Oryctolagus cuniculus: one gene and its partners. The protein of the gene in region 1 purifies or fractionates together with the protein of each later gene. This does not show direct contact. Links are inferred from orthologs where the notes say so. Each region holds a gene or a part of one and is shown in the gene's direction. Other genes may lie near its edges.

The links.
Region 2: the proteins of ANKRD28 (region 1) and PPP6R2 purify together in Homo sapiens (co-immunoprecipitation; 4 studies listed by BioGRID and IntAct, counting the BioPlex papers as one, with this or other methods). This does not show direct contact. The link is inferred for Oryctolagus cuniculus from reciprocal best matches to the Homo sapiens genes ANKRD28 and PPP6R2.
Region 3: the proteins of ANKRD28 (region 1) and AP2M1 purify together in Homo sapiens (affinity purification with mass spectrometry; 3 studies listed by BioGRID and IntAct, counting the BioPlex papers as one, with this or other methods). This does not show direct contact. The link is inferred for Oryctolagus cuniculus from reciprocal best matches to the Homo sapiens genes ANKRD28 and AP2M1.
Region 4: the proteins of ANKRD28 (region 1) and ARHGEF2 purify together in Homo sapiens (affinity purification with mass spectrometry; 3 studies listed by BioGRID and IntAct, with this or other methods). This does not show direct contact. The link is inferred for Oryctolagus cuniculus from reciprocal best matches to the Homo sapiens genes ANKRD28 and ARHGEF2.
Region 5: the proteins of ANKRD28 (region 1) and PPP6C purify together in Homo sapiens (affinity purification with mass spectrometry; 9 studies listed by BioGRID and IntAct, with this or other methods). This does not show direct contact. The link is inferred for Oryctolagus cuniculus from reciprocal best matches to the Homo sapiens genes ANKRD28 and PPP6C.
Region 6: the proteins of ANKRD28 (region 1) and PPP6R3 purify together in Homo sapiens (co-immunoprecipitation; 3 studies listed by BioGRID and IntAct, with this or other methods). This does not show direct contact. The link is inferred for Oryctolagus cuniculus from reciprocal best matches to the Homo sapiens genes ANKRD28 and PPP6R3.
Region 7: the proteins of ANKRD28 (region 1) and PPP6R1 purify together in Homo sapiens (co-immunoprecipitation; 4 studies listed by BioGRID and IntAct, with this or other methods). This does not show direct contact. The link is inferred for Oryctolagus cuniculus from reciprocal best matches to the Homo sapiens genes ANKRD28 and PPP6R1.

The regions. Positions count from the first base shown.
Region 1 is NC_091435.1:151,313,778-151,317,669, reverse strand, and holds part of ANKRD28 (serine/threonine-protein phosphatase 6 regulatory ankyrin repeat subunit A), read left to right. Parts: intron 1-418; coding exon 419-620; intron 621-3,892. UniProt on the Homo sapiens protein: Regulatory subunit of protein phosphatase 6 (PP6) that may be involved in the recognition of phosphoprotein substrates. Involved in the PP6-mediated dephosphorylation of NFKBIE opposing its degradation in response to TNF-alpha.
Region 2 is NC_091442.1:123,368,493-123,372,384, forward strand, and holds part of PPP6R2 (serine/threonine-protein phosphatase 6 regulatory subunit 2), read left to right. Parts: intron 1-1,235; coding exon 1,236-1,300; intron 1,301-2,695; coding exon 2,696-2,811; intron 2,812-3,892. UniProt on the Homo sapiens protein: Regulatory subunit of protein phosphatase 6 (PP6). May function as a scaffolding PP6 subunit. Involved in the PP6-mediated dephosphorylation of NFKBIE opposing its degradation in response to TNF-alpha.
Region 3 is NC_091435.1:93,758,056-93,761,749, forward strand, and holds part of AP2M1 (AP-2 complex subunit mu), read left to right. Parts: intron 1-1,089; coding exon 1,090-1,355; intron 1,356-2,072; coding exon 2,073-2,155; intron 2,156-2,703; coding exon 2,704-2,839; intron 2,840-2,939; coding exon 2,940-3,081; intron 3,082-3,526; coding exon 3,527-3,646; intron 3,647-3,694.
Region 4 is NC_091438.1:42,725,907-42,729,798, forward strand, and holds part of ARHGEF2 (rho guanine nucleotide exchange factor 2), read left to right. Parts: intron 1-748; coding exon 749-816; intron 817-1,067; coding exon 1,068-1,131; intron 1,132-1,687; coding exon 1,688-1,817; intron 1,818-1,977; coding exon 1,978-2,087; intron 2,088-2,185; coding exon 2,186-2,332; intron 2,333-3,143; coding exon 3,144-3,394; intron 3,395-3,591; coding exon 3,592-3,717; intron 3,718-3,892. UniProt on the Homo sapiens protein: Activates Rho-GTPases by promoting the exchange of GDP for GTP.
Region 5 is NC_091432.1:229,001,521-229,005,994, reverse strand, and holds the start of PPP6C (serine/threonine-protein phosphatase 6 catalytic subunit), read left to right. Parts: upstream 1-1,551; 5' UTR 1,552-1,769; coding exon 1,770-1,844; intron 1,845-1,915; exon of another isoform or gene 1,916-2,488; intron 2,489-4,474.
Region 6 is NC_091432.1:4,119,593-4,124,201, reverse strand, and holds the start of PPP6R3 (serine/threonine-protein phosphatase 6 regulatory subunit 3), read left to right. Parts: upstream 1-1,611; 5' UTR 1,612-1,745; intron 1,746-1,808; exon of another isoform or gene 1,809-1,951; intron 1,952-4,609.
Region 7 is NC_091449.1:3,643,361-3,647,252, forward strand, and holds part of PPP6R1 (serine/threonine-protein phosphatase 6 regulatory subunit 1), read left to right. Parts: coding exon 1-135; intron 136-974; coding exon 975-1,112; intron 1,113-1,194; coding exon 1,195-1,260; intron 1,261-2,319; coding exon 2,320-2,432; intron 2,433-2,518; coding exon 2,519-2,632; intron 2,633-3,072; coding exon 3,073-3,235; intron 3,236-3,325; coding exon 3,326-3,478; intron 3,479-3,555; coding exon 3,556-3,690; intron 3,691-3,892. UniProt on the Homo sapiens protein: Regulatory subunit of protein phosphatase 6 (PP6). May function as a scaffolding PP6 subunit. Involved in the PP6-mediated dephosphorylation of NFKBIE opposing its degradation in response to TNF-alpha.

The DNA.
Region 1 (3,892 bases):
AGGTGGGGGTCATCGCTTTATCCACTGACTCAAGTTGGTCTGGCTATCTTGTGATTTTTAATAATAGTAAAAATTTTATCAGTGGTAATGTGTAGTACCAAACTCTGATTAAAGAATATGGGCTTTGGAATCAGTAGACTTTGCATCGGAGTTTTAAATGAACCCATGTCACACATCCATTGAATATCTGCCATGAAGCAGGCATTGTATACTCACGAAAAGATCATCTGTCATTTGAACTTCATTTTTTTCAGAATACCTGCTCCCTAGAACTGTAGCCTACTATACTAATAACTAGAAAAAGTATAGTTAACTTTCTTAATTCTTAAAATAGAAGTTTTGTATTATGTCAAATATAAAGATAATAGGAAGTCAATCTAAGTATGTATTTTTAATTGATATTTTTATTTATTTCTAGGCCTATCACGGTCACCATCAAGCACTGGAGGTGCTAGTGCAATCTTTGTTAGATCTTGATGTGAGAAATAGTAGTGGAAGAACACCCTTAGATCTGGCAGCATTTAAGGGCCATGTGGAATGTGTGGATGTGCTCATTAACCAGGGAGCCTCAATCTTAGTGAAGGATTACATTTTGAAGAGAACACCTATCCATGCAGCAGGTATGCCAGATGTTAGCCTGGATTTATTTACTGCTTTCCATCTAATATTTTCTCTTTCAGTTTCTAGTATACAATACTCCTGGTAAATTGTCTTTAAGTTTTTTACTTCAAATGGTAAAATGATTGTATTTTTAGAGGAAAGCCAGCAAGATATACCAACTTTAAGAAGTCATTTTCTGTCTTAGAAGATGTATTTATATCAATTCTTTAAATTCTTTATCAAAGCAGTAATTTTTTTACTTCTTTTTTGATGGAAGTTATTTTGGATTGGAACATGGCTTTTATTCAACAATTGATAAACATTCTGACTCTTTGTACCAGTGTTCTGCATTAACCATTTTTTCAGACAAAATATGTAGGTCATCTGCTTTATGTAAGAATTACTTCATATTGTAATTTTGTGACGTTACTGGTAATGTAAAGACTACAGAAATCTGTAACCAAGTCATTAAAGCAACTTGATACCAGGTGTTTATCACTAGAAAGTGCAGAGGCACAGTTCTCTACAGGAATTACATTTTTATCTTTTAAATTTATTTGCATTTTATTTGAAAGGCAGACAGATCTTGAATCTGCTGGTTCTCTCCCCAAATGTCTATAACAGCCAAGGCTGGACCAGGCCAAAGCCAACAGTCCAGAACTCTATCTGGGTGTCCCATGGGAGTGTCGGGGACCCAAGTACTTGAGCCATCATCTGCTACTTCGCAGGGTGCACATTAGCAAGAAACTGGATCGGAAGCAGAGTAGCCAAGACTCGAACCAGGCACTCCAGTATGGATGCAACCAGATTTAACCCCTTCACCAAATGCTCACCCCATTTTAAATAACCACGACAGGTACAACTGAAGAAAAGTTAGCTGAGTGTTTTTCTTATCTTCAGTAGGCTATCTTTATATGATTAGATTGATTTCACTTAGTCTGCTTTTACAGAATGATCCTTGAGATCATTTGAAGGTTGGATTTTATTTCTATACATGTTTATTTTATTTGTAAAGTTTGCATTGAAGACCATAGGTAGCACCCACTCTGGCTCCCAGAGCAGTCTTTCAGAACTATCAAATACTCAAACAGGGATCAGAGGCAAATATTTTAATAATGGATTAAGACCCCAAATAAATTTATATTTAAGAGGTCAAATGTTATCACTTTGTAGTTAGCTTATTCTGTAAAAGCGTAAAGTTCTGTCAGCCAACAAATAGAAAAATTATATTGTAACCACAGGTCATTTGTAGAACTAATTAAAGCTTTCATGGAGTTTTGCATTAATATTTCAGTGTTGAACTAAGAAACTTACCAGTCCCTCACAAATAGCTCAACAATGCCATATAATCCAGCATAAGTTCTACCTAAAAAAAAAAAAACTTACAGGTTAATGTTAGCACCTACCTATTCAATGAATGCAAGCCTCCATTCTGTAGATCTCTTTCAAATTTGGAGGCCAGAGAGCGTAAGTCATGAAAAAACTCAGATTTTTTTTTCTGGAGGTGAGCCAGTTATCTCCCAGAGTGATGCTATGCTTGGTGTTCTGACACAAAAACACTCTTCAGTAGCTGTTGTGCAATGAGTATACATGAATCTTTTCAAAAATGATGGGCCAAATAAGATCTCCTTGAACTATCCCCAGGTGTTATAGTCTCTCTCTCTCTCTCTCTCTTTTTTAAATTAGACAGGCAGAGTTAAAGACAGAGAGAAAGGTCTTCCTTTTCTGTTGGTTCACCCCCCAATGGCCGCCGTGGCTGGCACGCTGCGCCGATCTGAAGCCAGGAGCCAGGTGCTTCCTCCTGGTCTCCCATGCGGGTGCAGGGTCCAAGCACTTGGGCCATCCTCCACTGCACTCCCAGGCCACAGCAGAGAGCTGGACTGGAAGAGGGGCAACTGGTAGAGAATACGGCGCCCCAACCGGGACTAGAACTCGGGGTACCGGCACCGCAGGCAGAGGATTAGCCTAGTGAGCTGTGGTGCCGGCTATGGTCTGTTTATTACTGAGCAGAGTACAGCATTCAGATTAGATGGAGTCGGAAAGGGGTGATGGTTTTGAGCTACAAATCTTACTATTAGAATTTAAAATAGGTATCAGAACATACTTCCGAATTGTGGTAGCTAGCTTGCTTTCACTAGTTTTGTCATCTGATTAAGAAGAATATTGGTACAGTGTTCACCTCTGTTTCATTATATGGCTTATATATGCTTTTAAACTTCAAACTTGATTGTATATATGAGTAAGACCACACTTAAGCAAAAGATTTAACTGACTTTAAAAGCTTTCTGTTTTCTTTGGGATATGACTTTGCTTGTATCCTTCCCCATTTTGTGTTATTTGGAAATACATAAGCATGATTTCATAGATGAAATTCTTTGAGCTATCGGTAACAGAATACGTAACTGAAAGTGGTTTCAGTGATAGGTGTTTAGTCTTTCACATAAATCAGCCAGAGAGTGTGACAGTGATGGCCAAGTGGTTAAGGCGTTGGACATGAAAACAGCTGGTGTTGTGGTGTAGACAGTACCCACATGGGCAACCGGTTCATGTCCTGGGTGCTTCACTTCTAATCCTGCTCCCAGCTAATATGCTTGGGAAAGAAGCAAAGGATGGCCCAATTACTTCAGGTCTTTGCACCCACATGGGAGACCTGGAAAAACTTCCTGGCTTTGGCCTGGCCCAGCCCTGGCCTTTGCAGCCATGTGGGGAGTGAACCAGCAGATGGAAGATCTCTCTCTCTCTTTCTCTGTCTCATCCTCTCTCTCTGTAACTCTGCCTTTCAAGTAAATAAATAAATCTTAATTTTAAAAAATGGCCAGAGTTAGAAGCATTTCCAGGTTTGGTTTATTCCTCCTGGGCCAAATTCTCTTACTCTTTTTATTTTATTAAAAAAAAAAAAAAAAAAAGTGGGCGTGCAAGGGTTTAACTTACTTATTTGAGAGACAGAACAAGCTCTCATCTGCTAGTTCACTCTTCAGATGCCTGCCTTTTGTGTTGGTGTTGCAGGATAGTCACTGCTTCTTTACAGGGTCCCATCCAAAATCAAGAAAGAGGGGTGTTTCCATTATCAAACATAAAGGTATTTCCCAGAAGCCTTGTGGACTTCAAAATCCCAGTGGTCAAGTCTGGACCATGTGCTCACCTTAACTGATCACAGGCAAAGAGAACGGGGTTGTTGGTCTAACGTGATTTCACCCATTGACTGCAAGCAGGCTGCTTGCCCTGATCACAGCACCAGAAAGTTATATAAAATGAGCATTCCATTAGCTCACAGATGCTGAGGGTGGGAGTT
Region 2 (3,892 bases), on another chromosome or scaffold:
GTCAAAAAAAAAAAAAAAAAAAAAAAAGAGGTGCAGGGGCAGTGTTGTGGCACAGCAAGTTAAGCCACTTCCTGCCATGCAGTTTCTCGCATGGGCACCGATTCAAGTCCCAGCTGCTCTGCTTCCAGCTGTTAACGTGCCCGGGAAAGCAGTGAAAAATGGCCCAAGTGCTTGAGCCCCTGCACCCACATGGGAAATCTGGAAGTGGCTCCTGGCTCCTGGCTTTGGCCCGGCCCAGCCCTGGCTGTTGCATCCATTTGGGGAGTAAACCAGCAGATGGAAGATCTCCCTCCCTCCCTCCCTTTCTCCCTCTCTCCCTTTCTCTCTCTCTCTCCACCCCCCCCCCCAATGTCTCAGACCCCTCCCTCCCTCCCTCTTTCTCCCCCCCAGGAATGTCTCAATGTCTCAGACCCCACCTGTGGCTATGGGAGGGCAGAAACTTGACAAGGGGTCCCTGGATCTCTCTTCAGATGCCTCATGACAGTGGGGTTTGAGGGTCTGGAAGGCCTCACCCCTGCTTGCCCTTGACAGGGGCCCTGGCACTCTGTGTGCGAGCCTCTCAGGGTCACCCCTGCATGGGGTCCAGTGTGATGCACAGTGACTGCCGGGAGAAGCAGCTGGCAGGCGGGTGCTTTTGGTGATGAGAGCCAGGTATCGGGGACAGGGCCTGCAGGGGCCTTCATTGATGTGAGCTAGCTGTGGATGCAGGTGGGGTCCGGATAAACTTGCCAGGTAGAAGAAACAGGAGAGGAGCCAGTGTAGCGCTGCACTGGGTAAGGCTGCACCTGTGATGGCATATGCACACTGGTTTGAGTCCCGGCTGCTCCACTTCCAACCCAGGTCTCTACTAGTGTGCATGGGAGAGCAGCAGAAGATGGCCCAGTGCTTGGGCCCTGCACCCATGGGACGACTGGGTGGGGTTCCTCAGCAGATGGAAGATCTCCATCTCTCTCTGTGTAACTCTGCCTCTCAAATAATCAAGTCGGAAAGCCAGGGAGAATGCTGGCGGCTCCATCGGCCCTTCTGGACTCTGAGAAAGGGGAGGGCAGGGGAGGACAGAGCGTGTCCTCTCGCCCTGCTCTTCACTTTCAGGGCATTCAGCGCTGTGAGCCTGTGGAGGCCCTGGGCAGGGACCTCAGAAGCTGGCCTGCAAGGATGTCCTGCCCACAGGGTCCGCAGTGCTGATGTGCAGGAGGGGTGGGGTGCAGACCCTCACTCAGCACCTGTCTCCCCAGCTGTTCCAGAAGTGCTGCCTGGTACAGAGAATCCTGGAGGCGTGGGAAGCCAACGACCACACACAGTAAGAGCCCTCCCTCCTGCTGGGCTTCAGAGCTGGCCGGGAGGGAGGGCACAGAACTGGTCAGGAAGGGGCAGCTAGGCAAGTCTCTGCTTCTGAGAGCCCACGCCGGTGTCTGCTCGCCCCCAGCTTGCGCTGGCCTTGTGTGCTTGAGGGTCCCACATCCGAACCTGAACTTCCCCAGGAACCTGGACTCACTCCATTAACACTTACTCACAGGCGTGCATTTTTATCTCAGTCTTTGCACATCTTCCATTGAACCGAGTGCCCCTCTGGGCAGGAAGCTGGTCCTGCCTGTTGTCCTCTGTCAGAGTCCATGTCTGCCCCCACCATGTGCTGTCCTACTGGGAGCGTTGGGCTCTGGGAATGTGGGAGGGGCTCATGGGAGCCCCGAGGGCTCTGAGTGCTGCTGTGGACCTGTCACCTGGACCTGCTTGTGGGACAAGCAAACAGTTCCCCACATGGCTGAGTCCTCAGGCTCGGGCTCCATTCCTGCTGTGCGGCCGCGTCCAGTGGCATCTGGGCCGACACTGTGTGGGCTCTCTCAGTCCTGCAGTCTGGGAGTCGGGCACGGTCAGTGTCAGCAGTGCTCTGTGGTGGGAGTCGGGCACGGTCAGTGTCAGCAGGGCTGCGTGGTGGGAGTCGGGCACGGTCAGTGTCAGCAGGGCTGCGTGGTGGGAGTCGGGCACGGTCAGTGTCAGCAGTGCTCTGTGGTGGGAGTCGGGCACGGTCAGTGTCAGCAGTGCTCTGTGGTGGGAGTCGGGCATGGTCAGTGTCAGCAGGGCTGCGTGGTGGGGGTCAGGCACGGTCAGTGTCAGCAGGGCTGCGTGGTGGGAGTCGAGCACGGTCAGTGTCAGCAGGGCTGCGTGGTGGGAGTCGGGCACGGTCAGTGTCAGCAGTGCTCTGTGGTGGGAGTCGGGCATGGTCAGTGTCAGCAGTGCTCTGTGGTGGGAGTCGGGCACGGTCAGTGTCAGCAGGGCTGCGTGGTGGGAGTCGGGCACGGTCAGTGTCAGCAGTGCTCTGTGGTGGGAGTCGGGCATGGTCAGTGTCAGCAGTGCTCTGTGGTGGGAGTCGGGCACGGTCAGTGTCAGCAGGGCTGCGTGGTGGGAGTCGGGCACGGTCAGTGTCAGCAGTGCTCTGTGGTGGGAGTCGGGCACGGTCAGTGTCAGCAGTGCTCTGTGGTGGGAGTCGGGCACAGTCAGTGTCAGCAGGGCTGCGTGGTGGGAGTCGGGCACGGTCAGTGTCAGCAGCGCTGTGTGGTGCTGAGATGGACAGAGACCTGCAGGTGCTGTCTGGACACAGGAATCTGGAGGCAGGGCTGCAGGGTGACGCTGAGCAGGGGCAGGCGGCTAGCAAGGACAGGGCTGGGCGGCCGCCTGATGGTGCCTGTGCTTTCAGGGCAGCAGGTGGCATGCGGCGTGGGAACATGGGCCACCTCACGCGCATCGCCAACGCCGTGGTGCAGAACCTGGAGCGGGGCCCTGTGCAGACACACATCAGCGAGGTCATCCGAGGTGAGCCCTCTGGAGCCCCTGCCCCTTCACAGGGGGAAACCCTGACAGGGAAAGGGCCACGCAACCTCCGTCGTCGTCTGGCCTTCTCCTTGGGTAGGCCTGGTCCTGGGTGGGTCTGAGCACAGCGTGCAGTCTGTGGGTCCCGCACTGGCGCTCAGACCTGCGGGCAGCAAAGCTGTTTTTCAGCTCATGGGCCACCAGAGTCCTCCTGATGCCGCAGTCCTGGCCGCATTTCAGCTTTGCTGTGATCTCGGGCACAAATCTTGGCGGAACCAAGGGAGAGAGTCATGTCTCATCCACAGCAGCAGGCAGTGCCCGAGCCTGGTGTAGCTGGGCAGCCCCATCCTGGGACCTACGCAGAGCAGTAGAGCAGCCCCCAGCGCAGGGCCCTCCCCTGGCCAGGTCCGCTCCTGCCCTCAGCCTGTGCCGTGGCCGCCCCAGGTCCTACTGCTGCCCTCAGCCTGTGCCGTGGCCGCCCCAGGTCCTGCTCCTGCCCTCAGCCTGTGCCGTGGCCGCCCCAGGTCCTGCTCCTGCCCTCAGCCTGTGCCGTGGCCGAGCCAGGTCCTGCTCCTGCCCTCAGCCTGTGCCGTGGCCGCCCCAGGTCCTACTGCTGCCCTCAGCCTGTGCCGTGGCCGCCCCAGGTCCGCTCCTGCCCTCAGCCTGTGCCGTGGCCGCCCCAGGTCCTACTGCTGCCCTCAGCCTGTGCCGTGGCCGGGCCAGGTCCTGCTCCTGCCCTCAGCCTGTGCCGTGGCCGCCCCAGGTCCTACTGCTGCCCTCAGCCTGTGCCGTGGCCAAGCCAGGTCCTGCTCCTGCCCTCAGCCTGTGCCGTGGCCGCCCCAGGTCCGCTCCTGCCCTCAGCCTGTGCCGTGGCCGCCCCAGGTCCTGCTCCTGCCCTCAGCCTGTGCCGTGGCCGAGCCAGGTCCTGCTCCTGCCCTCAGCCTGTGCCGTGGCCGCCCCAGGTCCTGCTCCTGCCCTCAGCCTGTGCCGTGGCCGGGCCAGGTCCTGCTCCTGCCCTCAGCCTGTGCCGTGGCCGCCCCAGGTCCTGCTCCTGCCCTCAGCCTGTGCCGTGGCCGCCCCAGGT
Region 3 (3,694 bases), about 58 Mb from region 1:
TTCCTGGCTGAGGGGCCCTCTCCCCACCTCAGCAGCTCTGATGAGATTATGCTCCTCTTGTTCCTGCTACCTTGAGAGCAGGGACTTCCTCAAAGAGCTTGAGATAAATAGTCAGGAAAATGGGCCTGTAGCAGTGCCCGGCTTCTTGGCTCCCTGGCTGATGGGCTGGCCTGGCCTTTGTGGCTGTTTGCCCCTTACCTGGTGGCACGGCATGAGCTAGACTTGGGGGCAACACCTGGCCTGTGTGACCTGGCTGGCTGGACCTGGCCAAGCCGGGGCAAGGTCACACACTACCTTGCATGCCTTGCTGTGCTCTTATCCCTTGCCTGTCTTGTCTGCTGCCACCTCATGGTGTGTGCCGTCCTCCCAGTGTGTCGTGTGTCTAACCCTCTCTCTCGTTGCTGTCACTCTCCTCTTCTTGCTGGCGTCATTTCTCTCATCCCATCTCATTGGCTGCCGTAGCAATAGGTAAGGGGCCTGTCAAGCTGCTGCCCAGGTACAGGTGGGTGGGGGACCTTGCCCACCCCACCCCCACCCCTGTAGTCCTTCATTCCTTGAACTTGTCCTGGAGTTGGATCCCAGACAAGAACGGGTGGCACAGCTCCATGGTCCCATGGTACTTCTCCCGCAGAAGGGCAGAGCCTTCTCCAAACTCACGCTTTGTGTAACTTCTAGAGGCGTCAGCTTTGCCCACTGCAGGGGCTGCTAGTGGGAGGACTAGAGAAGAAGCAGGCTCTCATTCTCTCATTCTCTCTTGTCCTGGAACTTACCAGGACGCTAGAGGTGGCAGCTGGTTATAGGTAGGAAATTGGAAGCAGGCCTAGCAGTCAGGGACATGGCTGCCCAATCTGAAGAGCTTTAGTTTATTAAGCTTACGTCTGCCTTCCTGCACTGCCTCTTCACTTCCCTGTTTCTCATGGTCTTTGGCCCAGCTCAGGCCACCTCCTGTGCCCCACTGGTTCCCTGCTGGTGTAGGCATTGGCTATAGACTGTGTGACAGACTTCAGCTGTGAGGAGGGTGGGGCTCTCAGCAGCTGTGGTTGGTCCCTGAGGTTTGCCTGAGCAGTCCTGTGCACCCTTTCCCCTCAGGAGGAATGCAGTGGACGCCTTCCGGGTCAATGTTATCCACGCCCGGCAGCAGGTGCGCAGCCCCGTCACCAACATTGCTCGCACCAGCTTCTTCCATGTTAAGCGTTCCAACATCTGGCTGGCAGCTGTCACCAAGCAGAATGTCAACGCTGCCATGGTCTTCGAATTCCTCTATAAGATGTGTGACGTAATGGCTGCCTACTTTGGCAAGATCAGCGAAGAAAACATCAAGAACAATTTTGTGCTCATATACGAGCTGCTGGATGGTAAGGCCAGTGGGGCTGTGGGCCTAGGGTGGGGATGAACCCGACTGGGCCCAGCCTGGTAGCGGGAGCTGGGTGGAAGCTGCGGTGCATGCTGAACTTTCTGGAGTGTCTGCTCTCTCGGGCTGGGATTAGGCCAGTTCAAATCCAGGCCTAAAGGCTGCCCTGAAGTGGAACACAGAAGTAGGCCAGCAGGTGGGGGCTGGGGAAGTTTCAGCTGGAACGTGACTCTGGCTTCCGTGCCTGGACCTCCCGTATTCTCTTCCTTCCTTGGTGGTTTGCACCTTCGTTCACCTCCTCCCAGCTCTCTCTCCATCTTGGCAGCTGCTTTGGAGCCTGGGAAAGGGCGAGGTGTTACAGGCCCCTTGGGGTGCACTGCTACCTCTGTTTTCTGAAAGGTGTGCTCTGCACATGAGCCCTCCCACTTTCCCATCATCTGTTTTCTAAAGAAAACAAGGTCTCAGCCTTTTGACCTCTGACCCACTGGGCACGTGACACTTCTGCTGATTTCTTTACTTGAAAAAAATCAAACACTGTCCTGTTTTCTTACAAAGCACAGAACCCAGGGTAAATGCTGCAAAGCTGAAGGGAGGATGCTGTGAATGATTCTCCAGGGTCTTTGCCAGCTTTGCTGGCCAGACGTGTCCAGGCCAGGGGAGGGACTAGAATGAAGGCACCTTCAGCTCTGTCCAGGGCCTTATGATTCCCTTCCTTTTGCAGAGATCCTGGACTTTGGCTACCCACAGAACTCTGAGACAGGCGCTCTGAAAACCTTCATTACCCAGCAGGGCATCAAGAGTCAGGTACTCACATTGTACAACCACTGTTGGGGTGGAACCCAACTTCCCTTCATGCCAGCTGGCCCCAGCCTTGTCCGAGCTGACTCATGAGTCCGCCCTTGACAGGAAGTACTGGCTTGAGCCTCCTGCCATGACTGTAGTCCTCTTTTGTCCATGTGGCTCTCCCCACCGCCCAGGCAGGAGCAGCTGACTCAGCATCTCTGTTACCGGGAATGCATCTCAAGCAGTTTCTTCCTGCACTGGGGGCAGGGGTGGGCTGTCTAGAGGAGCATGCTGGGCCTGCTTCTAGGATCCAGGCCTCATGGCCTTCTCCTTCTTTTCTGCCTCTCCTGCGGCTTCGTGTGGGCGCCTTGTTGGTCCTGCGGCCTACAGCATCAGGTAAGCCGTCCTGTATGTCCACCCTTGCAGCTTTGCGCTGTTTCTGCAGGCCTTGCACCATGCAGCAGGTGGAGACTAGAAGGGAGGAGGGATGAGGCTGCAGTGGGGACCCAGACAGGAGGATTAAAAGGAGAGAGGAGTGAAACCTCTGCTGCATCTCTGCCTCCACTTAGACAAAAGAAGAACAGTCCCAGATCACCAGCCAGGTGACTGGGCAGATCGGCTGGCGGCGAGAAGGCATCAAGTATCGCCGGAATGAGCTCTTCTTGGATGTGCTGGAGAGTGTGAACCTACTGATGTCCCCACAGGGTGAGGGCCCTCTTATGGGACAGCCAGAGGAGGGGCCAGGGCAGGATGCAGAGCCTGCCTGTTTGACTCAGCTGCTCCCATTTATCTGTTTGGTCACCAGGGCAGGTGCTGAGTGCCCATGTGTCCGGCCGGGTGGTGATGAAGAGCTACCTGAGTGGCATGCCCGAGTGCAAGTTTGGGATGAATGACAAGATTGTAATTGAAAAGCAAGGCAAAGGCACAGCTGATGAAACAAGCAAGAGGTGTCTGATTCAGGGGAGCAGTGGGAAAGGGCAGGCCTTAGAGGGCTCAGTGGGGTCTGGGGGAGTTCTTTCTCAACTTCATTTCTGTTGTAATCCTACTGTCTTCCCAAGGGTGTGCTTGGCTAGTTGCTCTTGACACCAGTTCTAAGAGCAATGAGAGATGAGGGGTTTGTCTACCCTGCTCTCGTCAGAGGACAAGCCCTTTGGTGGGTCTTCAGGACCGAGCTTGCACCTGCTGATGCCTCTGCCTGGTGTGCCTGAAACACCCGAGTCCTGAGCAGCAGCATCTTGAGGGGAAGGGCATGCAAAGCTCCCACTCATTCCAAACTCAGGCAGGAAGCTGCATTTGGGCTTCCGTAGTCTGTGGTGTCAGCCTTGGGTGGTTCCCCAGCATGACAACTGCCACTCTCCTGGGCCAATGAGATTTCTTTTGCCCCAACTACAGCGGGAAGCAATCAATTGCCATTGATGACTGCACCTTCCACCAGTGTGTGCGACTCAGCAAGTTTGACTCTGAACGCAGCATCAGCTTCATCCCACCAGATGGAGAGTTTGAGCTCATGAGGTGCCACTGGGGTGCTCCTGACAGAGTGGGGACAAGGAGGGAAGGGAA
Region 4 (3,892 bases), on another chromosome or scaffold:
GCCAAGGGCTGAAGGCCCCTCTGGGAAGCGGGAAGCGGACAGCAAGGAAAGGGCCGGCCAAGGGTGCCCAGGCCCAGCCCCCTCCTCCTTTCCTCTCCTCTCCTTCCCTGGGGCTGGGGGCGGGGAGGATGGGGGAGAAGCAGATGGAATGTGGGAGCTGTGGGCTTGCCTTAGCTGGGGGGAACAGGACTCCCTGGGCCTGGAGAGAGAAGGCAGATGAGTTGGTGCAGAAGGCAGCGCAGGGCACAGGCTGCCCCCACTCTGCTGCTGGACCCCCAAGCCTTAGAAGTGCCTGGGCCCAGAGTCCAAGGCATGCTGGGAGTGGGGAGGCAGCAGGAGTGTGGCCTTGGGAGTCTGGTTCGAATCCAGTGCTGCTGCTGGCAGGTGACTGGAAGAGGAGCATAATTGAATTTCTCCCAAAGGATTAGGCACAGGTGGAACACTCAGTACTGGGAGAATGTGTGTTTCCCACTCTGGTCTCCTGGCCCCTGGCCCAGCTGCCCTGTCTTCTGTTCCTTGGGGGGCCTTTCTTCCCTCCACCAGTCCCAGCCACCTTTGCACCTCTTCTCTCTAGACCCCCCTCACACCACCCCTCCTGCTGGCTTAATTTCCCTAAACATCCATACCCCTTCTCACTTCATTTCCTGCTGGCAGGAAGAGGGAGGTGGGAGGAGAGGGGCTGGGGTGGGGGTGAGTCCCCTCCTGTACCACCCGACCCTCCCTTCACCCTCTCTACCCACCCTCCCAGCCTGCAATGTGACTATCCACAACCGCTGTAAAGACACCCTCGCCAACTGTACCAAGGTCAAGCAGAAGGTGAGAGGGTGGGGAGGGCAGCGGGCTGGGGGAGAGGGTAGTGAGCGTGCGGTACCCTCTTCCATTCATCCCTACCCTGTGTGCCTCAAGCCCTGTCCTCACCATGGGCAGCCCAGACCCTCAGCCCCAGGCCTCCTGCTGCACCTGCTGCAAATGCAGCCCCGCAGCCCTGGGCCACAGCGCCAGTGCCTCCCCGTGCCTGTGGGGGCGACCCGTGGGTGATGGCTGTTCTTGGTGTCTCTGTCTTGCAGCAACAGAAAGCTGCCCTGCTGAAGAACAACACTGCCTTGCAGTCTGTGTCTCTCCGCAGTAAGAGTGAGTAGTGGCCCCAGGAAGACCCCGGACCCCAGGCTGCTCGGCCCGTGGGCTCTGCTGCCCCCCTGAGGTCACTCACAGGCACAACACCGCTCTCCTCCTTGGGGAGCTGGGAGCAGGGACACGGGATAGTCCAGACCCTCTGGCTCAGAGCCTGGACAGGAGGACCCAAATGGGGTTGAGGCTTGGGATGGCCAGTCCCCTGAGCCCGGCCGCACCCCTGTGCTGTTGCTGATGTGCTCAGCATTGGCGACCTGTCATGGCTCGATTCAGACAGCATTGTTCCAGGGGAGCCAGGTGCTAGGGCAAAAAGAGCCGAGCCCCAGACCCTGCTCATCCACTGGCCGAATCCCCGCCCCTTGTTGAGCTTCACTTTGCTCATGGGCTTGCTCCCAGAAAGAGACAAGACAAGGTTCTTGGGGAGCATTGAAGTAAGGTGGCTTTGTCCTCACCGCTGCCACCACGTCCCCTGGACAAGAGCCGAGGAAGCTGGGAGGCCTGTGTCCTGCGAAGGCACCAGTGTTAACATTTGCCCTCTTGGTCTCTGCACCCCCAGCCACCATCCGAGAGCGGCCCAGCTCTGCCATCTACCCCTCGGACAGCTTCCGGCAGTCCCTCCTTGGCTCCCGCCGCGGCCGCACCTCCCTGTCCTTAGCCAAGAGCGTGTCCACCACCAATATTGCTGGGTGAGCCCCTGCTTGGGAACGGGGCAGCCAGGCGGGCCAAGAGCGCGGCAGTGGAGCCTGAGGTGGGGGGCGCGGAACGGTCCTTTGACATGGGGTGGGGGGAGGCTGCCTCTGGGATCCTGGCTGTGCTGGGGGATGCCAACAGCCCCAATTCCTTCAGCCATTTCAACGATGAGTCTCCCCTGGGGCTGCGCCGCATCCTCTCGCAGTCCACGGACTCCCTCAACGTGCGGAACCGGACGCTGTCGGTGGAATCCCTCATTGACGAAGGTGGGTGGGTTGGCGAGGAGCGGCAGCTGGGAAGCAGCCTGGCAGGGGGTCCCGGGAGGAGGACTCGGCTCTGAGTTGCTGCCCCGGCTCGTGCCCAGGTGCAGAGGTGATCTACAATGAGCTGATGAGTGACTTTGAGATGGACGAGAAGGACTTCGCAGCTGATTCCTGGAGCCTGGCCGTGGACGGCAGCTTCCTGCAGCAGCACAAAAAGGAGGTGATGAAGCAGCAGGATGTCATCTATGGTGAGCCAAGTCCGCCCTCGCATCCCTGCCTTCACCAGGTCCTGCCCGTCACATCCTCTCTGCCCACCACCACCTGTCGAGGCCCTTCCCCTCTTTCCCTGCGGGTCGCCGTGCTGCTGCCTGGCAGCCCAGTGCAACCACTGTTGCTGTCGGTCTCCGAGGCCCTGTCTTTGTCCTTTCTCCAATTCCTTCCTCAGTCTTTTAATATTTATTTTATTTATTTGAAAGGCAGAGTTACAAAGAGGAGAGATAGCAAGGGGGAAATCTTCTGCCTGCTGGTTCACTCCCCAAATGGCCACGATGGCCAGGGCTGGGCCAGGTCAAAGCCAGGAGCCAGCAGCTTCCTCTGGCTTTCTCAGTGTGGGTGCTGGGGCCCAAGCACTTGGGCCATCCTCTGCTGCTTTCCCAGGCACATTAGCAGGGACCTGGTTCAGAAGTGGAGCATCTGGGACTTAAACTGGCATCCATATGGGATGCCGGCATCGCAGATGGGAGCCTAACCCATTACCTGTTAACACCACAGTGCCAGCCCGCAGTCTTTGTTCTGTGCTTATCCCGGAGCTAGGGAAAGCCGGACGTGTGGAAGACAACGTGGTCCTTGCTCTGAAACAACTTACAGCTTGCAATGCCAAAGCATAACTACAGATAAAAGATTATTAGAGAATGACCTAAGATCCTAGTAATGCAGAATGTTAAGCTGGTCTGGGCCTTGAAGACCTGTGGGTGCCCTGAGGTCCCTATTAGCCTGCAGCACCCCACCCACAGTGGCCATGCCAGGCGGAGGAGGCCAGATGTCCCGTTGTGCCCACAGAGCTAATCCAGACAGAGCTGCACCACGTGAGGACGCTGAAGATCATGACCCGCCTCTTCCGCACGGGGATGCTGGAAGAGCTGCAGCTGGAGCCCGGAGTGGTCCAGGGCCTGTTCCCCTGCGTGGACGAGCTGAGCGACATCCACACGCGCTTCCTCAGCCAGCTGCTGGAGCGCCGCCGCCAGGCCCTGTGCCCTGGAAGCACCCGCAACTTCGTCATCCACCGCCTGGGTGACCTGCTCATCAACCAGGTGGGACGAGTTCCTGGAAGGACGGGTAGCCAGGGTGGACAAACTGGACGGGCTGGGGAAAGGGGTCGTGGTGTCCGGGGGCGAGCTGGCGAGGCGGGAAGCTGGCCCGTGTGGCAGGAGGCCGGAGGTGGGTCCAAGGGAGAGGGTGTGACATGGGGGAGTGGGGGGTGCTGACACAGTCTGTCCCCGATGTCCAGTTCTCCGGCCCCAGCGCGGAGCAGATGCGGAAGACCTACTCGGAGTTCTGCAGCCGCCACACCAAGGCCTTGAAGCTCTATAAGGAGCTGTATGCCCGGGACAAACGCTTCCAGCAGTTCATCCGGGTGAGCGAAGCCCTCCAGGTGTGGGGGGGCAGTCGGGGTCCGAGCCCGTGTGTGCCCGTCCACTCGCAGGCGCCGTCGGCTTCGGCATTGAGGCAGCCCTCTGTGACAGGGCAGGGCCCTGTGGGTGCCCAGGCACGGCGGACTCCTCTGGTTGGCCCCCATGGCCCTGAACCCC
Region 5 (4,474 bases), on another chromosome or scaffold:
CAGCCTCCCAACTGATCTCTCAGTGCAACCATCGCCCTCCAGGAGTCCCCAGAGTGCTAGAGTGATCCTTCTACAACAAGCTACATCATTTTACTCCTGTGCTAAAAACCCTGCAATAGCAGTCCATTTCATTTAAAAGAAAAAAAAGCAGGGGCTGGCGCTGTGGCATGGTGGGTAAAGCCACCGCCTGCAGTGCTGGCATCCCAGATGGGTGCTGGTTCAAGTCCCGGCTGCTCCACTTCTGATCCAGCTCTCTGCTGTGGCATGGGAAGGCAGTGGAAGATGGCCCAACTGCTTAGGCCCCTGCACCTGTGTGGGAGACCAGGAAGAAGCTCCTGACTCCTGGCTTTGGATCAGAGCAGCTCCAGCCATTGTGGCTGATTAGGGGAGTGAACCAGCAGATGGAAGACCTCTCTCACTGTCTCTCTCTCTCCTTCTGTGTGTGACTGTGACTTTCAAATAAATAAATCCTTAAAAAACAAAACAAAAAAACACAGTATTCTTCTCCTTTTCTCTCTGATCTCTCCTACTCCTCTCACTTCTGCTCCAACCACACAAATCTTGCTGTTTCCCGAAGACTTTAGATAGGCGTCCACCTCAGGGCCTCCGCACCAGCTCCTCCCTATCATATCCCTCAGGTAGCTGCATGGGCAACTCCCCCACTTCTTAGATGGCTTTCAAAGTTCATGTCCTTACTCTGCCGCGTTGTTCCCCTAGCACACGTCACTTTCTCAAACGCTATGCATTGATGGCAGCGTGGTGTCTTCCCGTCCTAGCTGTCAACCACAGGCTGTGGACGCCCGTCTTTGTCTACTGTGTTGACTGCGTATCCCAAGCGCCTGCAGTTGTACCTGGCCCATGGCTGGTGTTTGGTAAACAGCTGCGGAATGACGAATGCCTCAATGAATGCTGAAGGCCTACTCAGTGCCAGGTGATCTTACTCGGTTGGGGACACAACATTAAACTCCCTCCCTCGTGGGACTCCCACGGAGGTCTGCTTAAGCCAGCTGACCTGTTTTCCAATGTTGACTCTACCGTTCGTTTCCGGTGACATGTGGGGCAAGTTACGTAGGGTCTCCAAGCCTTACCTTCCCAGCAATCATGAGAATTAATGGGGGAAGGGGAGTGGGGCGGGGAAGAAAACACAGAATAAAAGAACCCTTGCGGCATCCGGTACAAGAAACGCTTTGACATTTCCTTTCTCATCCTCAAGACCAGACGACTGGGAGTTCGGCTTCTCCGCCACAGGTTTAACCGAGGTTTTTGCAAAACCTTGGAAAGGCGCAACCAGGCTACTACGGGCAGGCTTACCCAATTTCTAACTGAGGATGTCCTGTTGAGAGAGGGCCTAAAAGGGTCGCAACGAGAAGCCACAGAACGCTCAGGTCACCTACTTCGCCGTTTTGCCTCCGATAAGCCTTGCCGGGTCTCCAGGGGTGAAGTACCGGGAAGAGGAGGAAAAAGAGAAGCCGGCTCCAACTGAAAACTACAAATCCCAGCAACCCCCGCGGCAGGCAACTACGGGTCCCAGCAGGTTTCGCGGGCGGAATTGAGGGGACCTCTTCGGGCTGCAGCCTGGGATCAGTCAGCGAGGGCGCGGGACGTGCGGGGGCGGCGCGGAGAATCCGGTCAAGCTTTAACGTCGCTGCGCAGACGCCACTCACGGGCCGGACGTGACGTAGGGAGAGTTCCGGCTTCGGCCTCCGCCGCTGCCGCCGCTAGTACCGTCGCCGCCGCCGCCGCCGCCGCCGCGGCTTGTTCCTCCTAAAATGGCGCCGCTAGACCTGGACAAGTATGTGGAGATAGCGCGGCTGTGCAAGTACCTGCCAGAAAACGACCTGAAGGTGAGCCCGGCCGGGGCGGGAGTGCCGCTTGCGGGGCTCGCCCCTTCCGGCTGTGGGGCGCCCGCCGGTCCGCCCTTCCTCTCTCCGCGGGACCCCTGCCGGGTGTCCAGTCCTGTCGCGGTGGAGAGCCCTCCGCGGTGGGAGGCGACCCTCGGGCTCGGCGTCACGCGGGGAGACGGGAGAGCCCGAGTGCCCGGATGCTGTCCTGGCTTCCCCCGCCGGGGATCCCGAGGGCTGTCGCGGGCTCTCCTCCGGGGTCGCCCCTCCTGGCCTGCGGGCTGCCCCTGGACGCGGAGCCGTTACAGCTTCGCCGGGAAGACCCCGCTCTTCCCCAGCCGCAGCGCCGAGCCCCGGAGCCGGAGTCGAGCCCCAGCGGGTGGTGCTCCCCGGAGGTGACAGGAGCGCGGGTGGCCGGCTCCCGGGGTCGCTGAGGTCCGGCGGGGCGGCGGGGCCCGAGCGGAGTAAGAGGACGTCGTGTCCCTCCGTACGCCGCTCCACATTGCTCCTTGGGCGTGCTGGCTCTCGTGCCAATTCAGCTGGGAATCCCGGTCTGTGGCGGTGTTGGGTAAAGTGTGCAGATACCAGTAGCTTGCTCGCCTGGAAGTCGTGCCCCCGAAACCCACTTCTTGGCTTTTTGGAAGAAGGTGACTTTTTGCTTGTTATTGCCCGAGTGGTGGGATTGTGTGTGTGGGTGCAGGAGTCGGGGTCGGATAATTTTGGAAAAGCGTTTCTGTGCTTTGTTGAAACCAGTGCTTGGGTTTCCAGCAGCGGTTACCCGCTAGTGCCGGTGTCTCATTTGTTCTGTTAACTTTGATGGGCTCTGTGCTAAGTGGGTAAGCTGTAAACGGTTCGAGTGCTTTTCATGCTTTCATTAAGCCGTGGGTTGTAAAGTTACAAAAGTAGATGTGACCGTGTTTGTGTTTTTGCTATATCCTTTGGTACCGGAAGTTGATATTTAACCTCACTCAACAAGTATGCAAAATTTTTCAGGTTCCCTGGCCTGATGTGAATATAAATGAATTGTATGTGCTTATGCTGGGATAATCACTCTCGTCCCCCCCCCCCCCATTTTTAATAGGATAGCTTCACTAAGGACAGCTTTTATTAATGGTAGTGTAGTGTTTCTGCTCCCAGTGCTTCAGACGCGTGCTGTGTAGCCAGCATTGGGAACCCGTTCATGGAGAACTGGCCAGGCCTCTGCTGGTAGCATTGTTCATCTTTTTGGTGAATTCATTGCATGTTAATGAATCGATGTGGAATTCTGTTTTCATTTGTTATGTTTAAAGCCGTTTTGTACTTTGTGATTTCAGTTTCAGAAAATATGTCTTGATATTACCTTGAGGTGGGACACAAATTACTTGAAAAACAGTTGGATTTTCTTTAGATCTCTTAGTCTGCTAAACGTTATCTGAAGGAAGTAATTATTAAACCATTTTATTTCCTGTTGAAACATAGTTGGACTGTATTTATTTGCATCTGATTCTTAATAAACTTTATATCTTCTGAGCAACTACTTAAATTCTGGATTTTTCTCTGTTAGAGACTTCTGTTTTGGAAAATTTTTTTTTTCTTTCTTTTTTTTTTTTTGACAGGCAGAGTGGACAGTGAGAGAGAGAGACAGAGAGAAAGGTCTTCCTTTTGCCGTTGGTTCACCCTCCAACCCTCCAATGGCCGCCACGGCTGGTGCGCTGTGGCCGGCGCATCACGCTGATCCGAAGCCAGGAGCCAGGTGCTTTTCCTGGTCTCCCGTGCGGGTGCAGGGCCCAAGCACTTGGGCCATCCTCCACTGCACTCCCGGGCCATGCAGAGAGCTGGCCTGGAAGGGGGGCAACCGGGACAGAATCCGGCACCCCAACTGGGACTAGAACCCGGTGTGCCGGTGCCGCAAGGCGGAGGATTAACCTAGTGAGCCGCGGCGCCGGCACCTCCAGAGTATTTAAAGAAATTTAATTTATGTTTCTTTTTCTTGGCATGAAGTACAAACTAAAAATAGGCAGACCAAAAAATACTCTAGGAGCACCTTTGATGCTTTCAAGTCAGTAGAAAATATTCTGTTAGAGGATGGAAAGAATTAATTGGGGCCACTTAATGAACATGATGGAAGAGACTTGTTTGGGTAGAAAGGAAAGTAAATTTTTATTTGTATTTTAAGTTTATTAGAAGTTAGAGGTGCAACATTAAATAATAAATACATAGGATGTTCAGGTGTGATAACAAGTTCTTTATAACTGAATTTGAAATGGTCAAAATACTAGTACCAGGTCGAATCTGCCTGTTTTGAGGGAATAAGAATAAAGTACCTGAGAGTGAGTGGACAACAGAGCTCAATAGATGGTTTAGATTTCATAAGTTGCTAAGTGAAAGAAGGAGTGATAAAAGTCTAGTTTGGTGCTCGCTTTGGCAGCACATATACTAAAAGTCTAGTTTGCTGAATATGTAAGTACTTTTGGAGGAGAGAGTCTATAACTTGAAGGTTGTCTGAATTTTTAGAAAATTTTTTTTTCAAGATTTATTTACTTATTTGAAAGAGTAACAGAGAGACAGAGATACACAGAGAGACACCTTCCATCTGCTGGTTCACTTCCCAAATGGCCACAAAGGCCAGGGCTGGGTCAGGCTGAGCCAGCCTC
Region 6 (4,609 bases), on another chromosome or scaffold:
CCCCCGCAGTCCTCCCCTGGGCTGGCCCCCGCCCCGGCAGGCCCCTCACAGCCTGCTCCCCCCCCAGTCCTCCCCCTGGGCTGGACCCCCAGTCCTTCCCCTGGGCTGGACCCCACCCCCGGCAGGCCCCTCGGAGCCTGCTCCCCCCACCCCCCTGTAGTCCTCCCCCTGGGCTGGACCCCTCCACAATCCTCCCCCTGGGCTGCCCCCCCAGTCCTCCCCCTGGGCTGGACCCCTCCACAATCCTCCCCCTGGGCTGCCCCCTCACAGTCCTCCCCCTGGGCTGGGCCTCCCCCCCCACAGTCCTCCCCCTGGGCTGGCCCCCGCCCCTCGCAGCCTGCTCCCCGCCACGATCCTCCCCCTGGGCTGCCCCCCCCACAGTCCTCCCCCTGGGCTGGACCCCTCCACAATCCTCCCCCTGGGCTGCCCCCTCACAGTCCTCCCCCTGGGCTGTCCCCCCAGTCCTCCCCCCCTGCAGCCTGCTCCCCCTGGGCTGCCCCCCCCAATCCTCCCCCTGGGCTGGCCCCCGCCCCCGGCAGGCCCCTGGCAGCCTTCGGCCCCCTCGGTCCAGGCCTGCCCCTCCGGCCCTGGGCGGCTCCTGCTCCAACCTGCCCTGCACCGCCCTGGCTCCCACGGGCGGAGCCCAAGCCCCAGGTAGGTGCCTCTGGCCGACTTCCAAGGCCTCCGGTGTGTCCCCCCACCCCAGACCTGTGCCGGCCCCACCCTGTCCTCCCAGGGCGTGGGGGGGGGGGAGGGTGCGCTCGGCCCTGCCCCGCCCAGGTCACCTGCCTGTGTGTGCCCGCCCTCACCGCGACCCGGCTTTCCGCCCTGCCGGAGTCCACGCGGGTGACCGCGGCTGCGGGGAGGCCAGCGCCCCGCGGGGTCTACGAGGGCCCAGCCCCCCAGCCAGGGCCGCCAGGCCTTGAGGACGCTTCTCCGCACGGGGTCCAGGCGGCCCACACCTGGGCGGGCACCTGGGGGGGCTGTCCGCGCCCCGCGCCGCAGCCTGGTCCGGGAGGAGCCCCCCAGGGCCGTCCTCGGAGTCGCGGGCCTGGGGTCCCCGGGGGGCGGCGCGGAGGTCAGCTCGCGGGGAGGCCCTCCCCTGTGGAAAAAGGGAGGGGCCCGCGCGGCCTCTCTCGCCGCTCGCGCTGGGGAGGGCCCCACAGGGCCGGGGGCACTCGGCGACCCTGGCCTTGACCCCCGCGCCCGGGGCGGCCACGTGACGGCGGCGAAGTGCACGCGACAGGTAATCCCCGCCGTAAAAGTTGGCAGTGGAGAATGCGGGCATCGATCCCGCTACCTCTCACATGCTAAGCGAGCGCTCTACCACTTGAGCTAATTCCCCGGCCCCGCACGGCTTCCGGCGCCGGCGCGTATTGTGACTCACGTCATCACCGGTCCCCTCGGCCCCGCCTACCCGCCCGTCTCGCTCCCCCATTGGTTCGCTCGCGGCTCAGGCTCCACAGCCGCGATTGGTTTGGCTCAAGTTAGTTTCAAGAGACATTGGCCGCTCAGATTGGTGGTCCGAGGCGTCCGTCAAGCAGAGGCCCTGCTGTTGCTACGGCGTAGGGGGCTGGACCGAGCCAAGTTTCTCCCGGTTCCTGATTTGTTTCTGCGACTCCAGGGTCCTAGAGGTTCCGGATCCGTCAAGTCCATGGGAAAAAGAATGTACCCCTCGCGTTTGACTGACGAGGCCTGCGAGCCAATCGAAGGGGAGGCAAGGGAGCCGCTGGGCGATCCAATAGGTTGAAGGGGGCGGGAGAGGGAGGCCAATGAGGGTGGAGCTGGGGGCGGGGGCTGGGCCGCGATTGGCTGCGAGGCGGCCGGAGGGAGGGCGGGGGGCACTCAAGGCCTGCTTGATACGTCCGCCATTTTGGGCGCTTCGCTGATGGTGTCGGTGAGCGCGTTTCCCGCCTGAGCGCAACTAGCGGCGGGTCGTGGGCGCCTCCAGGTAATGGGGGTGGGGAGGCCTCGGGGCGGGCCGCGGCGCGGGGGCGGCGGGGCGCGCGGGCGGGCGAGGGGCGCCTCGCCGGGGTCTCGGCGCGGGGCGGGAGCGTCCGGCCCCTCTCCCCTCCCCCCCGGAATTCGCCGCTCGGCGGCCCGGGAGGCGCGGCGCCGAGCCCTGCCGCGCCGCTGCCCGCCCGCTCCTGTCAGCCGCGGCCCGGGCGGCGAGCTCGGCGCGGCGCGGGTGCCCGCGGCCTGGCGCGCCCCTGCGGGGCTCCGGCTTCCCGCCCGCGTCGCCCCGGCCGCCCCCGCCGCGTGTCCCGGGGAGCCGCGGGCGAGCGCGGGCCATTGTTGGACTCTGTCCTCCGGGAAGCAAGTTTGGTGGGCTTCGCCCCGCCGGGCGCGGAGTCGTCGGGACGCGCCCCGAAGCCGGCCGCCGCGCTCCCGTGGCCTTCCTGGGGGCCGGGGCCGCGAGGACCCCCGTCCGGGAGGCGCGCGTCCGCGGCCGCCGCGCAGGTGCTGCCCGCCGAGGGGGCGCGGGCGGAGTCGCAGGTGTCCGGGCGAGTGCGGGGCACCGGGGGACGCGCTCGGGGCCGCTCCCGCCTGGCCGGGGTGGAGTTTACTTTTTCTGCCCTCAAGGTCACGTTGCTGATGGGCAGCGCGCGGCCCGAGGCTCGCGGTTGCCCCGCGAGGCTGCGGCTCGCCGGCGCCGTGACCTTGCGTGGTCCCGGGGCACCTGTGCGCGGGGCGGCCGGGCCGGGCCGGGCCTGGGACGCGCGCAGGCCCCGGTGGGAGTCGGACGAGCGTTTCGGCCCGGCCTGCTTTGTAGTTTAGAGTCAGCTGGGGTCGGAAATGAGTGGAAGTTGTAGTTTTGTGTTTTTTTTTTTTTTTTTTTTTGGAAGGGGGCTGATGGAGCTTCGTGGGATTAGATCCGGGGGCTGGAGCCAGGGCTGGTGTTCCAGGAGGGGGCTACACGCAGAGGGCCGCCCAGCGCTTTCCTGGGACTCTGCCTCGTGTACCTTTGGGGTCCTTCCTGGAGTGTTGCGCGGGGTTCTGAGGCGCCCCTGGTGGGGTGTGGGTGCACCCCAGGGCCCTCCCGTCTGGGTGCAGCTGGGAGCGGAGTGCGGCGGCGGCGGCCAGTCGCCCAGGCCTCCGCTGCCCCCCCGCCCCCGGTGCCTGTGCTGGCCCGGGAAGTGGATTCTGATCCTGTGGAGGCCCCCGTGGGGACCGGCATCAGGCTGCTGTGGCTTACTCAGACCGGAAGGAGACTCGAGCTTTGTGCAGAGTACAAGAAGCCAGACAAATAAACAGAAACATCTTTCGGGTTTTGACTGGGAATTAGAGTCAGGCCACAGCTGGATGTGTAGATGAAGACTTGACGGGTGAGGCGTGTTTGGTTTCTTCAAGATAAATTTTTGCGTGTTTGGTACAGAGATAGTGTCTTTATTACAAGTAAGCATTCCTGAAACAGCATTGGCCAGGCTTGGCATTCCGTCATGAGCTTGTCTTGTGGTTTTGAATTTCAGATATCAGCCCGAGCATGTGTTGACTGACAGTTTTTACAGTGTTTCCTGCACGTCAGAGTAAGCGACAGTAATGGCGGTCTTTGACTGCTCAGCGGGAACCCAGCCTCGGGGTGCTTCACGGGGAGCACTAAGTCAGGATCTGAGCCCAGTGGGGCTTCTTGGACTGACTTAGGCAGCTTTCACGCTTCTTCCTGTTCTTAAGAAAACCTCAAATGGTTGTTTTTAATTATAGATCAGGGATTCTCAACTTGGGGTGATTCTACCCCGGGAAGCGTTGGGCAGCGTTGGGAGACGCTTGCCAGCCTCGGGGGTGGGTGCTGTGTGTTTGGAAGGCAGAGGCCCGGGACACCGCGCAGGACAGTCACCCAGCGCGAACAGCAGTGGGGCTGAGGCCGATGCACCCTGCTCTAGGTGGTGGTGGACTGGCCTGTGTTAGAATCCCGCGGGACGTGGAGGCCGTGGGTGCGTGAGCATTGTGGTGCAGTGGGTTAAGCTGCTGTTGGCATGCCGGCAGCCGTATCCGTTGGTTCGGGTCCTGGCTGCTCGGCAGTTGTGGTGATGTGCCTGGGACGGCCTCTGCCATCCTCATGGGCGGCCCGGATGGAGTTGGTGGCGGTGGCCTGGCCCAGCCCCATTCTTGTGGGCATTTGGGGAATGAACCAGAAGACAGATTGATGTCGCGGTCCTGCTCGTCCCCTCTGTCTCTCTTCCTTTCAGAGGACATAAACGAATCAGTCTTATCCTTTTAAAGACGACCATGGTGCTGGGCCTCAGCTCTGGTGGTTTGTGGTGGGGGTGAGAATCCACTTTTAAAAACTTCCCAGACAAATTGCTGTGCTTCTCGGGTTTGGGACCACTGTTCAGGATGTTAGATTTCAGGGACAGTTGTAGCTGGGGGTCCTTTGGGTGATTTGTGAGCTCTGCCTTTGCACCCAGATCCTGCCCGGCAGATTTTAGTAGTGAGGGGAGATGATGCGTTTCAGGTGCTTCAGCTGTAAGGGAAATAGTAAATGAATTGACTGTGTAAGATACTTAGAAGCCTGCTCATAGCCCAGGGGCAGGGGATGTGCCTGTGGCCGGGGAAGGCCTGTGTGAACTCATTCGTTCTGGCCCTGGCAAGGCAGCTACAGGTGGCACTC
Region 7 (3,892 bases), on another chromosome or scaffold:
GACGCCCTGGGCGCCGACGAGTCCCTCCTGAACCGGCTCTACGGCTTCCTGCAGAGCGGCAGCAGTCTCAACCCGCTGCTGGCCAGCTTCTTCAGCAAGGTCATGGGCATCCTCATCAACCGCAAGACCGACCAGGTGCCTGCCCCCCTCGCACCCCGGCGGGCGGTGCGGGCTGGCCCGGCCCTGTGACAGGCCCCGTGTCCCCCTCGGCACCCCAGCGGGCGGTGCGGGCTGGTCTGGAGCCGTGACAGGCCCCGTGTCCCCCTCGGCACCCCGGCGGGCGGTGCGGGCTGGTCTGGAGCCGTGACAGGCCCCGTGTCCCCCTCGGCACCCTGGTGGGTGGTGCGGGCTGGTCTGGAGCCGTGACAGGCCCCGTGTCCCCCTCGGCACCCTGGTGGGTGGTGCGGGCTGGTCTGGAGCCGTGACAGGCCCCGTGTCCCCCTCGGCACCCTGGTGGGTGGTGCGGGCTGGTCTGGAGCCGTGACAGGCCCCGTGTCCCCCTCGGCACCCTGGTGGGTGGTGCGGGCTGGTCTGGAGCCGTGACAGGCCCCGTGTCCCCCTCGGCACCCTGGTGGGTGGTGCGGGCTGGTCTGGAGCCATGACAGGCCCCGTGTCCGTAGCTGGCACCCCGACGGGCGGTGTGGGCTGGCCCGGTGCCGTGGCATGGCCCGTGTCCTCCTCGGCACCCCGATGGGCGGTGCGGGCTGGCCCGGCCCCGTGACAGGCCCCGTGTTCCCCTCGCACCCTGATGGGCGATGCGGGCTGGCCTGGCCCCGTGACAGGCCCCGTGTCCCCCTCGGCACCCCGGTGGGCGGTGCGGGCTGGCCCGGCCCCGTGACAGGCCCCGTGTCCCCCTCGGCACCCCGGTGGGCGGTGCGGGCTGGCCCGGCCCCGTGACAGGCCCCGTGTCCCCCTCACACCCCGGCGGGCAGTGCGGGCTGGCCTGGTGCCGTGACACAGCCCCATGTCCGCAGCTGGTGTCTTTCCTGCGCAAGAAAGACGACTTCGTGGACCTGCTGCTGCGGCACATCGGCACCTCCGCCATCATGGACCTCCTGCTGCGCCTGCTCACCTGCGTGGAGCGGCCCCAGCTGCGGCAGGACGTCGTCAACGTGAGGGGCTGGCCGCAGGGCGGGGTGGGGTGGGGCGGGGCGCGGCGCACAGGAGGAGCCTCACGCAGCCTCTCGTCCCCAGTGGCTCAACGAGGAGAAGATTGTCCAGCGGCTCATCGATCAGATCCACCCATCGAAGGATGACAATGTGAGCGTGGGCCTTGCTGCTCTCCGCTGAACTGGTTGTGCACACGCACGCTTGCCCTTGGGGGATGCATGGGTGGGAAAGGGGCACCAAGGGCAACCCCTGACCCTGGCGTCTCCCCCGGGGATCTGGAGGGCCTTCCCAGGCTCCTCCTTCCTGCCACTTAGCTTTGTCCTTGTACTTGTCCTCCGGACTCCATTCCGCAGTCCCCCGAGGCCCCACTTCCTACCCCACACTCGCGTTTCCCCCGCCTTGGGTCCCAGCCGCCTCCACCCCTGTGCCAAGAGCGTCAGCCTCCGGGGTCCCTGGAAGCATTGTGTCTCGGGCTGGCAGAGCAGGACGCGGCTCAGAGGCCGGCCCAGCCCTGGCCCGTGCCCAGGGGGGTCGCAGAGCAGGGACGTGGCTCAGAGGCTGGCCCAGCCCTGGCCCGTGCCCAGGGGGGTCGCAGAGCAGGGACGTGGCTCAGAGGCTGGCCCAGCCCTGGCCCGTGCCCAGGGGAGGGGGGTCGCAGCTCTTGAGGCCGGTGAGGCTGAGGCCCGGGCGTCTGCTGTGAGCCATGGGGCAGGCACCAGGAGGCTCGGTCCTGACTGCTGCTGTTGGGCAGATTCTGAGCTCTGCCTGTGCTTCCGTGCCTCCCCTTAGTCCTGTGACATCTTCTGTGACTACTTGGAGAAGTAAATAAGGCACCGTGGGCTCCTCCACTTGGTTGTAGTCAGTGGCTTTAGTGGATTGCTGTCGGCACAGCAGGTGCAGAACGTGTGATTGCTCCAGAGAGAAACTGCCCACCAGCAGGCCCTCCCGTCTCCCTCCCTCAGCTCTGTGTGTGGCCATCGCTCATAAGTGGGTCCCCGCTCACCACCTTGTGAGCAGGGCTGCTGGGCGGCCCGTGTGCCTCCTGTGCTGGGAGCTTCGATGCCCGGGGCTCCCTCTGCGACACGTGCCCCTGCCCCTGCCCCGTCCTTCCTGGTGCCTGGGGGACCAGAGAGTGGCTGCTGGGGGGTCCCGGCGCCAGGCTGTGGGGGGCCAGCAGCTGACTGGACCCCGCCCTCTCGCCCTGCCCAGCAACATTCCAACGCGTCCCAGTCCCTGTGCGACATCATCCGCCTGAGCCGGGAGCAGATGATCCAAGGCCAGGATGGCCCGGAGCCCGACCAGCTGTTGGCCACCCTGGAGAAGTGGGTTTGCCAAACAGTGCCGAGGGCTGGGAGGGGAGCTCAGGCCCCTGGCCTCCTCCCTGACCCCACCCTCCCTGACCCCCCAGGCAGGAGACGATGGAGCAGCTACTGAGCAACATGCTGGAGGGGGAGCAGAGCCCCTCTGTCGTCGTCAGCGGGGTCCAGGTGCTGCTGACCCTGCTCGAGCCCAGGAGGCCTAGGTGAGGGGCTGGGGCGCCCCGGGTCTCCCCAGGGCCTTGGACGGGAGGTTGCAGCGTGCACTGTGCAAAGCCTGGCACACAGCGCCTCACACGCGGCGAGTACCTGTGCTCCCGGTCGCGGTGGTCAGGATCATACCGGGGGCACGTGTGCACCTTGGGGCCCAAGCCTCGCCTGCTCGCAAGAGTAGAGGGGCTGGGGTCGAGCCTGTGTGGTGCAGGGCCTGGCCCTCCACGTGGGCGAAGCTCTGTCGCAGCCCTGCACCCCGCTTGCTCACGCAGGTCCCCCTGCTACGTGCACCGTGGGCTCCCTGTTCCCTTCCTGCTGGCCCGCCTTCCTCACTGCCACTCCTGAGCAGGGCTCAGAGGAGAGCAGCCCTGACCACACCCCGCCCCGTGCACACGTGTGGGCCTTCACTCCCTCTGCCCTGTCCCTGCCGCAGGTCTGAGTCGGTGACCATGAACAACTTCTTCAGCAGCGTGGACGGGCAGCTGGAGCTGCTGGCCCAGGGCGCCCTGGAGAGTGCGGCGTCCAGCACGGGGGCCTTGCACGCTCTGCGCCCACGGCTTGCCCACTTCCACCAGCTCCTGCTGGAGCCACCCAAGGTCCGGGGCACGGGGATTCATGGTCCCAGCGGGAGGTGTGAGGGGTTAGGGAGGGCTGCTGTGGGAACTGAGCCCGCCCTGGACCTGCAGCTGGAGCCACTGCGGATGACATGGGGCAGCCTGGCCCCGCCCCTGGGCAACACACGGCTGCACGTGGTCAAGCTCCTGGCCAGCGCCCTGAGTGCCAATGACATGGCCCTGACGCAGGAGCTCCTGGCACTGGATGTGCCCAACACCCTGCTGGTGTGTGACGGGCAGGGGCGGGCTGCGGGAGGGGGGAGCCAGGGCTGGGGCCTCTGACGCTGGCGGGTCGTCCCCAGGACCTCTTCTTCCACTATGTCTTCAACAACTTCCTGCACACCCAAGTGGAAATGTGTGTGAGCGCCATGCTGAGCTCAGGGCCCCCTCCCGACAGCAGCCCCGAGACACCGGTCTCCAACCCTGTAGTGAAACACGTGAGCTGCACCCCACCCCGTTCCTACCCTCCACTGTGGGGGGTGGGAGGGGGAGACCCCTGGGCACTGCCCCCTCCCCAGGCCTGCTCCCTCCCCTGTCGGGGTATGGGGGGGTCTTCCCCCCTGGGCACTGCCCCCTCCCCAGGCCTGCTCCCTGCACTGTGGGGGGTGGGGAAGTCTTCCCCCCTGGGCACTGCCCCCT